Linked DNA regions of Danio rerio. Each later gene encodes a partner of the first gene's protein in a complex. Links are inferred from orthologs where the notes say so. Each region holds a gene or a part of one and is shown in the gene's direction. Other genes may lie near its edges.

Evidence for each region.
Region 2: odad3 (region 1) and clxn share a complex: the UniProt entries of both Homo sapiens proteins name them as parts of the outer dynein arm-docking complex. The link is inferred for Danio rerio from reciprocal best matches to the Homo sapiens genes ODAD3 and CLXN.

The regions. Positions count from the first base shown.
Region 1 is NC_133181.1:9,174,934-9,178,882, reverse strand, and holds the start of odad3 (coiled-coil domain-containing protein 151), read left to right. Parts: upstream 1-1,139; 5' UTR 1,140-1,873; intron 1,874-1,933; 5' UTR 1,934-2,066; coding exon 2,067-2,252; intron 2,253-2,457; coding exon 2,458-2,559; intron 2,560-3,403; coding exon 3,404-3,529; intron 3,530-3,637; coding exon 3,638-3,760; intron 3,761-3,949. UniProt on the Homo sapiens protein: Component of the outer dynein arm-docking complex (ODA-DC) that mediates outer dynein arms (ODA) binding onto the doublet microtubule. Involved in mediating assembly of both ODAs and their axonemal docking complex onto ciliary microtubules.
Region 2 is NC_133194.1:42,812,145-42,816,329, reverse strand, and holds the start of clxn (calaxin), read left to right. Parts: upstream 1-1,385; 5' UTR 1,386-1,420; coding exon 1,421-1,496; intron 1,497-1,630; coding exon 1,631-1,786; intron 1,787-4,064; coding exon 4,065-4,169; intron 4,170-4,185. Other genes in the region: grna.1 (granulin 1 precursor), read left to right, coding at 3-16. UniProt on the Homo sapiens protein: Component of the outer dynein arm-docking complex (ODA-DC) that mediates outer dynein arms (ODA) binding onto the doublet microtubule. Seems to regulate the assembly of both ODAs and their axonemal docking complex onto ciliary microtubules.

The DNA.
Region 1 (3,949 bases):
GCCGACGAGAAAAAGAAAGCAAGCGCGAGTGGAGAAATTAAATTATTTATTCCATCAACTAACACGTTAACTAGAATAAACTAAAATAAACTTTGTCAAATATAATATTCTCCACGTAGACAAGGTCTTGCGCAACAGTCGGGCAATGATTTAATTCAAGTTTGTCTGAAACACTAACTTTAGGAGCCTGCTAAACATAGGCCCATTATAGCTGATTATGTTTATTATAAATTCTATATTATTCAGAGTATAAAAGCAACATGTTAGCATGCAACATTGTTACCGAATTGAGTTTTGAACATTCGAACGTGCGTTAACCTTTAACAACACACATGCCATAATACGAATTAAATATAACAAGGTGATATCTATTTAAGTTTGATTAATTGTGCAACCTTACCATTCAGATGTCTCAGAGGTTAAAGTTTATTGGTTTACACACCCAACAGATATCCACAAATAGGTCTTTGGTCAAGTTTTGAAAGCATTTATCTGATTTTCATAATGTGTCAACTGTGAATTTCAGAGCAGTCACGTCCGTAACGAAGACAAGTCACGTCCGTAACGATAGTTTTTCCTCATTAATGCAAAAATGAAAAACTAAATAAAATTAATTATATATGTCCCATGCAGAGCCAACCCTTATCCTTTTGACTGTTATATATTTTTTTGGCTTCTGCATTTTCATTCACAGAATTTTCACAAAGTATGTCAACTCACAAAACTCATGTCTTTTTTTTGTCACGTCCGTAACGCATTCATTTTGCCGTCATTTTAAATATAAAACACCTGCATAGACTGATATTTTTTGATGCCTGAACTCCATGGTTAAGGGGTAAGAAAAATATAAACATATATTTCAATATACTGTTAACATATACCTTCTCTGAGAATATACGTTTCATTTTTTTACTGCAAATGTCACGTCCATAACGCTGGAATCAGCCATATATATATATATATATATATATATATATATATATATATATATATATATATATATATATATATAATAGCACTGTCGTCTCACAGCAAGAAGGTTGCTTAATCAAGCCTTAGCTGGGCAGTTGGCATTTCTGTGTGGAGTTTGCATGTTCTCCCTGCATTCGCGTGGGTGTCCTCTGGGTGCTCCGGTTTCCCCCACAGTCCAAGGAAATGCAGAATTGGGTAGGCTAAATTGTCCGTAGTGTGAATGAGTGTGTGTGGATGTTTCCCAGAGATGGGTTACAGCTGGAAGTGCATCTGCTGTGTAAAACATATGCTGGATAAGTTGGCGGTTCATTCCGCTGTGGCGACCTAAGATTAATAAAGGCACTAAGCCGAAAAGAAAATAGATGAATGAATGAACATATATTAATTTAAGGTATATCGTAAACTAATATGCAAATGTTTATATGATTTATTTGAAATACAGGGTGTAAAGTAATATTTTTAGTTTTTTGGTAGATATATTTTATGAGAAACTTGTTTTGTTTACTAAAAAATAGTAGATCTAACTGGATTTACATTTTAAAGAAAAATGTTCTTTAAATGTAAAGAAAAATGTAAATATTTACATTCTTTAAATTAAAAATATATAATTTTTTATGTCGTTTTCAGTTACGACACTCCCAAAATCATTTAGATTTTTAAATAAATTGCCAAAAAAGGTTCACAGATTGTGTCAGACCCTGAACATCATCTTTTTGTAAAGTAGATTATATACCTGTAGGTTAACTCTGTATAAATATAGTCCACGATAGCCAAACTCTCAAAAAATTTTAATTGTAATCTAATAACACACCCCTTTTAAATCTGGAATGGTCAATATTGTATTAACTTGAATTGAATTAAAAGTGAAGTTAAACATTTTTCATGAAATAAGTATGTAAATGTAATACACAACTATGACAAATTTATATATAACATTGACTTGCGGATGCTTTTTTAACAGTATCTTTATTTCAGTTACTCATTATAAAATTAAACTTTTTTCTGTTTCAGTCATTTCTGGTTCTAACTAAGCAAACTGTTTGTGATTACTGAATCACATGGATTTAAATTGCAGTTGACAGACATTTTTTGTCATGCAGGCAGCTCGGACAGTGCTGGAGAAGCAGGTGCGTGATAAAATGAAGAAGTTGAATGCTATGAAACACGCCACTCAGAAACAGAGGCAGCGTTTAGAGGACCTGAAGCTGCAGTACCAGAGCATGAAGCCACACAACAAAAGCCCTCTGCCTGACACCCAGAAACAGGAGGACGAGGAAAAGGTAGAACTTTTTTTTTATGGGCATATCGGATAAACACTGGTGAATCAGAAGTGGGTCTCTGCCTTTTAGATTCTCATCTTAATCCTCCTAAATGTATCTTTGGCTCTTTTGTGTCATGATTTGACCTACGTGGACTGTTTAAACTCTATGCAAGCAAAATAAAGAAGAATGAACTTGTGTGTTTTTTTTTTTTTTTTTTGTAAAGAAATTGCGTATTCTTGAGAACCGTTTGGAGAAAACGCAGCTGAAATGCCATGAAGCGGAGCACATAATGCGAGGATACCTGAAACTGAAGGAACATCTGCAGGTATCACAGCAAATTCACATACACACAGTAAATCCAAAGAGCTGTGTATAATAAAACTGCACATTTTGACTGCCACATAATAGAATCTTGAAAACAATGGTTCAGTGTATATTAAACAGGGTTCATCGCTAGGGATTTTTTTCTACTGGCCCGATCGGGCAAGTGGTTCAGATTTTTACTTGCCCTGCCAACATTTTCTCTGGCCCCTCCAAAAAAAGAAGTTAGCCATTTAGTTATTCAGCATAACTTTTCTTTAAATACAACTGACAATTTAAAAATGATTTAATTTAAATACAATACTGATTAGATTAATTAAAGTGAATTGTTTAATGTGTGGTTTAGTTTAACTATTTAGTTGACAATTTTATGTTTTTTATTTGTTTAAAATCCACCAAAATTCCTAATTTTATAAGCCGGCTCATTACATCAGTCTATAATACTGTCAGTATTTTTATTATTCATTTATTTGTCAATCTTAATTTAAAATGCATTTCACTTCTTGTTCTTGCTTGATCCATCAACATAATAATCATATTAGCCGCACAAATCGCGCTTAATGGGCAAACAAGTTCTGAAACAAACGTTTGGGCATGAAAGCTCGCAATTGACAAACAATCGCAGCCAAATTAAACTTTAGTGACAAAGCAGCACTGGCCCCTATCGGGCCAGTAACCATTCTGTATACTGTCCCGAGCGTCTTGCACACTGGCCCCTTATTGTTGAGCCCTGTTAAACTATTAGGTAGTTTTCATCATTGATAATAATACCAAATCTGCATATTAGAATGATTGGATGGTAGTGTATGATATTGTAAATGAGCATCATTTATGATTTGTTTCTTCAGGAAGAGAGTCTTACATTTCAGCCACAGCTAGACAGGATGGAGACAGAGATTCACAGACAGACACAAGTGTTTAAAGACCTGCAGGTCATGAACAGTGACGCTCATCTGTCTAAGGATGCTGCCAAGGTAAAGACATGTTTAATGAATTATTAAAAAATGTAATGAGATAATGAAGTAAGCACATTTTTAAGTGTGGCAATGTAAATGCTTAGAGTAATGTTTGTGTGTCTCTAGGCTGAGCTGCAGCTTCAGGAGGAGCAGGTGTACAGAGAGCGCAAAGAGAGAGAGAAAATCCTCTCCCGCTACAAAAAGCAGACGGTGGAGAGAATGAATCAGGCAGAGAGAATGAAGAGAAGAGTAAGAATCATTCACAACACACCTGCTGCAATTAAAACTCAAAACACAACAGTGTTGGTTAAAATAGGCAATTAATTTAGTTAAAAGTAGATACACTACTAATCAAAGGTTTGGAATGTTTACATTTTTAAATGTCTGTTATTCTCAATATTTATTTAATTCAAAATATATATTAAAAATAACTGTATA
Region 2 (4,185 bases), on another chromosome or scaffold:
AGGGTTGGAGTTGTAATCAAACAACCACTGTTACACTGGTTCACCTCTTACTGAAGACTGTCAAAATGCAAGAGGCTCCAAACTTCATTCATGTTTCAGGCTATATTCTTACATCCAGGCTGAATTAGTGTGAAATAAAAACTAATAGAATTACTGTCAAAATGCACCGTCATTTAATAAACATTATTAATTTGGGGGAAAAGAAATTGTGTTCTTATTCATTCATTCATAGTATTTTTATGAAGTAATCAGTGATTGTGAATGAATTTAATGCACTGTAAAGCCCAACAGTCCACTTTATCAAATGAATTGAGTGAAAGAAATGTACAATATAAATCAGGAAGTGATATTACAAAGTGATAAGAACAATAAGTAAAAAAAGAAAAAAGTAATATGAAGAAAAGAAAAGAAAGAACAAAATGAAGAAAAGGCAAGTACAAAATTAAATTAAGAAATTAGAAATTAGAAATACAGAAAGCATTAATTACTAACATCCTGGAAGCATGATATTTTCATAAGTTTCTATTGACTTGCAGATTTTTGTTGTTGTTAGATAGACGTATAGCTTTAAGCAAGAAATCAATTTCAATTAAATAATGGGCAAATGAGGGAGAGGATTTAAGAAATTTTTGTTTGTGGATAAAGAATTTAGCAAATAATATTAAAAAAAAGTTATAGAAATATTCTTCATTTTTATTCTTGGGGCTTAAATAACAACAAATGATATTTTTCAGTTTAAAGATTTGTTTTGTTGATTGGGATTTCTTCAAATAATTACATAGATCTGACCAAAACAGTGAGATTTTACATGTAAAATACATGCGAGTCAAAGTTTCCTGATTTTCCTGACAAAAGGAACAAGTATCTGCAATATCAGTAAATTCTAAGATAAATGCATTGACCGGGTATATTTTGTGTAAAGTTTTAAAATGGATTTAATTTGCTTTGTTTGGGATTACATATTTGAATGGGAGAAGCATGTTCTTTTCCAATCAATATCTTCATTAAAGCTGACCAATATGATTTCTTTCTTGGAGCAATATGATTTTTTTTGTTGGACAATTCGAAGAATAAGTTTGTTGTTACATTTCTTAGTATTTTCATTAATAAACACTTCCTCGCACTTTTCCACACACGTGGGTTTCAATGTGTAAACAACAGTTACCATCAATGTGTGTTTGACAGGATCATTTATATATCTTACCACATACTGTATCCGCTGGTATACGACTTTAAACGAAGAATTACCTTCATAAATTTGCAAAATGCGTCCCTGAAGGGAAACGCTCGACAAGTTAAAATGCGTTAAATCGATGTATCCTGGTTTGTGTATGCAGCGCTTGCTCGTCACAACATTGCCCCGCCCACATTACACGTTTCCACAGCAACATTCAACCAAAGACTAAAAAGAGAGTAAAACATGCTGAAAATGTCGGCGATGAACAGAAAATTAATTCAAAACCTCGCCGAGACTTTATGCAGACAAGTCAAACATTGTGAGTATCTACTTGCGTTTGAGATATCAGCTTTTAGTTCGTTAATAACCTGCAGCTTTATAAAGTTATAACTCTAATAACTATACTAAACAAGGTAGGTTATTTAACGTTACTAAGCTGTGGTCATACTGTAGTTAATAAAACAGAGACGGAGTGTCTGATAAGGCTGTTCAACAGTCTGCTGGGAGAGCAGGCAGAGAGAAAGACGACTATTGGAGTGGACCGGGCCAAATTCAGAAATATACTGCACCACACTTTCGGGATGACCGACGACATGATGACGGACAGAGGTAACGTTGCGTTTCTGAATGAGAACAACGACCAACAAAACAATCACAATTTGCAGTGCAGTATTTATTGCATATATACTTTCACCGGCCACTTTATTAGGTTCACCATGCAAGCATTATAATGGGGTTTAAACTTAAAGGGATAGTTCAGACCCAAAATGAATACTTCTTCTCCATCGTTTGCTCACACTCAAGTGGTTCTAAACTTTTATGAGTTTCTTTCTGTTTGGGTAAAGTTACCCTAGTTGTTAAAGTAATTACAACCTCAAGCCTATCTAAATGTGGTTATAAGTGGTTTAAGATTGTAATATATTTCACTTAAAAAACAGGGGCAAACTTAAGTCATATGGGGGGCTCTAAGCAAAGGTATGGGGCCCCATTGAAACAAAACATTCTCTTTCTTTATAGATATTTTTCCTCTATAGATTTATTTATTATTAGTATTATTATTTTGGTAAATAAACAGCATGTTTAAACTAAATATAATCTAAATATAAATATATCTTGGACCTGTTACCAAAGATGCAACAGCAAAAACACACAGCACTGTCTATCATTTTTCAAGCTCTATAGTAGTAATCTTTTCACCATTATCTAAATAATAGCTGTTTGTGAATCAGTGGAAATTTTCTTTTGTTTGAAGACACTTCTTAACAAGCTAACGAACATTCCATTATTGATGGGGCCCCCATATTAGAAAAGAAGCAATAATGTTAAAATCTTAATGGTTATACACAGAAAAAAATGATAAAATAGCTATATGATTAATATAAGGTTCTTGGCATTGGTCGGACCCCCTAATTCCCTGAGGCCCTAAGCAGCTACTTGCCTTGCATATTTGTTAAGTCCACCCCTGCTTGAAAGTAACTTAACCCAACAATGGCCATTGACATTCAGAGTAGGAACAAAAGTACTATGGAGTCAGTGGCCGTTTTTTTTCCACTATATATACCAGGGGTGGCCAACCCTGTTCCTGGAGAGCCACCATCCTGCACATTTCAGTTGCAACCCATATCAAACACACCTACCTGTAATTATCACGTGGTGTTCAGGTCCTAATTAATTGGTTCAGGTATGTTTGATATGGGTAGCAACTGAAATCTGCAGGAAGGTGGCTCTCCAGGAACACGGTTGGCCACCCCTGATATATACCATTGTTTTCAATGAAATTTAAACAAGTGGAAATCGAGTAAATGATTGCTGAACTTACGTTTTTTTAAGGTGATGTATCTATTTTACCATCTCTGGCTTCAAAATTGCTTTAATTCTTCATGGCACAGATTTGAGTAGGTGCGGAAAATATTCCATGTTTTAGTCCATTTTAATAAAAGAACCTGCAGCTTTCATATCCTTGATGCAAATCTCCCATTCCAGTGCTGTATTGAACTGAGATCTGGTGACTGTGGAGCCATTTAAGTGACCATGTTCAAGAAACCGGGCGAAGTAGGCAGTGCTGTCGCCTCACAGCAAGAAGGTCGCTGGGTCACTGGTTCGATCCTCAGCTCAGTTGACGTTTCTGTGTGGAGTTTGCATGTTCTCCCTGCATTTGTGTGGTTTTCCTCTGGGTGCTCCTGTTTCCCCCACAGTCCAAAGACATGCGGTACAGGTGAATTGGGTAGGCTAAATTGTCCTAAGTGCATGAGTGTTTATGTGTGTGGATGTTTCCCAGAGATGGGTTGCGTCTGGAAGGGCATCCGCTGTGTAAAAACGTGCTGGATAAGTTGTCGGTTCATTCCGCTGTGGCGACCCCGGATTAATAAAGGGACTAAGCCGACAAGAAAACGAATGAATGAATGTTCAAGAAACCACTTTGTGTTTTGTAACCTGTATACATACATCTAAGTTTAGTAAGGGGTGACGCAGTGGCGCGGTAGGTAGTGCTGTTGCCTCACAGCAACAAGGTCGCTGGTTCGAGCCTTGACTGGGTCAGTTGCTGTTTCTGTGTGGAGTTTGCAGGTTTTTCCATTGCACTGATTTCCATTGTAGTTGTTTTTATAACTATGATGTCAATTGCAATTGGTTTCCAACATTTTTCAAAATATTTTCTTTTGGGTTCAACAGAAAAATAAAATCATATAGGTCTGGAAATACTTAAGAGTGAGTAAATTAAGTTTGGGTGAACTATTAGCCTTTAATGCATTAAGATACATCTTGCTGATTATTAGTTATTTACATTAAAAAAAATCACACCTAATAAAGTGGCCAATGAGTAAATACATATATGTTTCAGAGTCAAGAAGATATCACTCACTATACTTTTAATCTCTTGTGCACTCAGTTTGTCGTGTCATTGACAAGGACAACGATGGCTACTTAAGCGTTAAAGAGTGGGTTGAGGCTCTGTCTGTCTTTCTAAGAGGCACACTGGATGAAAAAATGAAATGTGAGCTCTTTACATT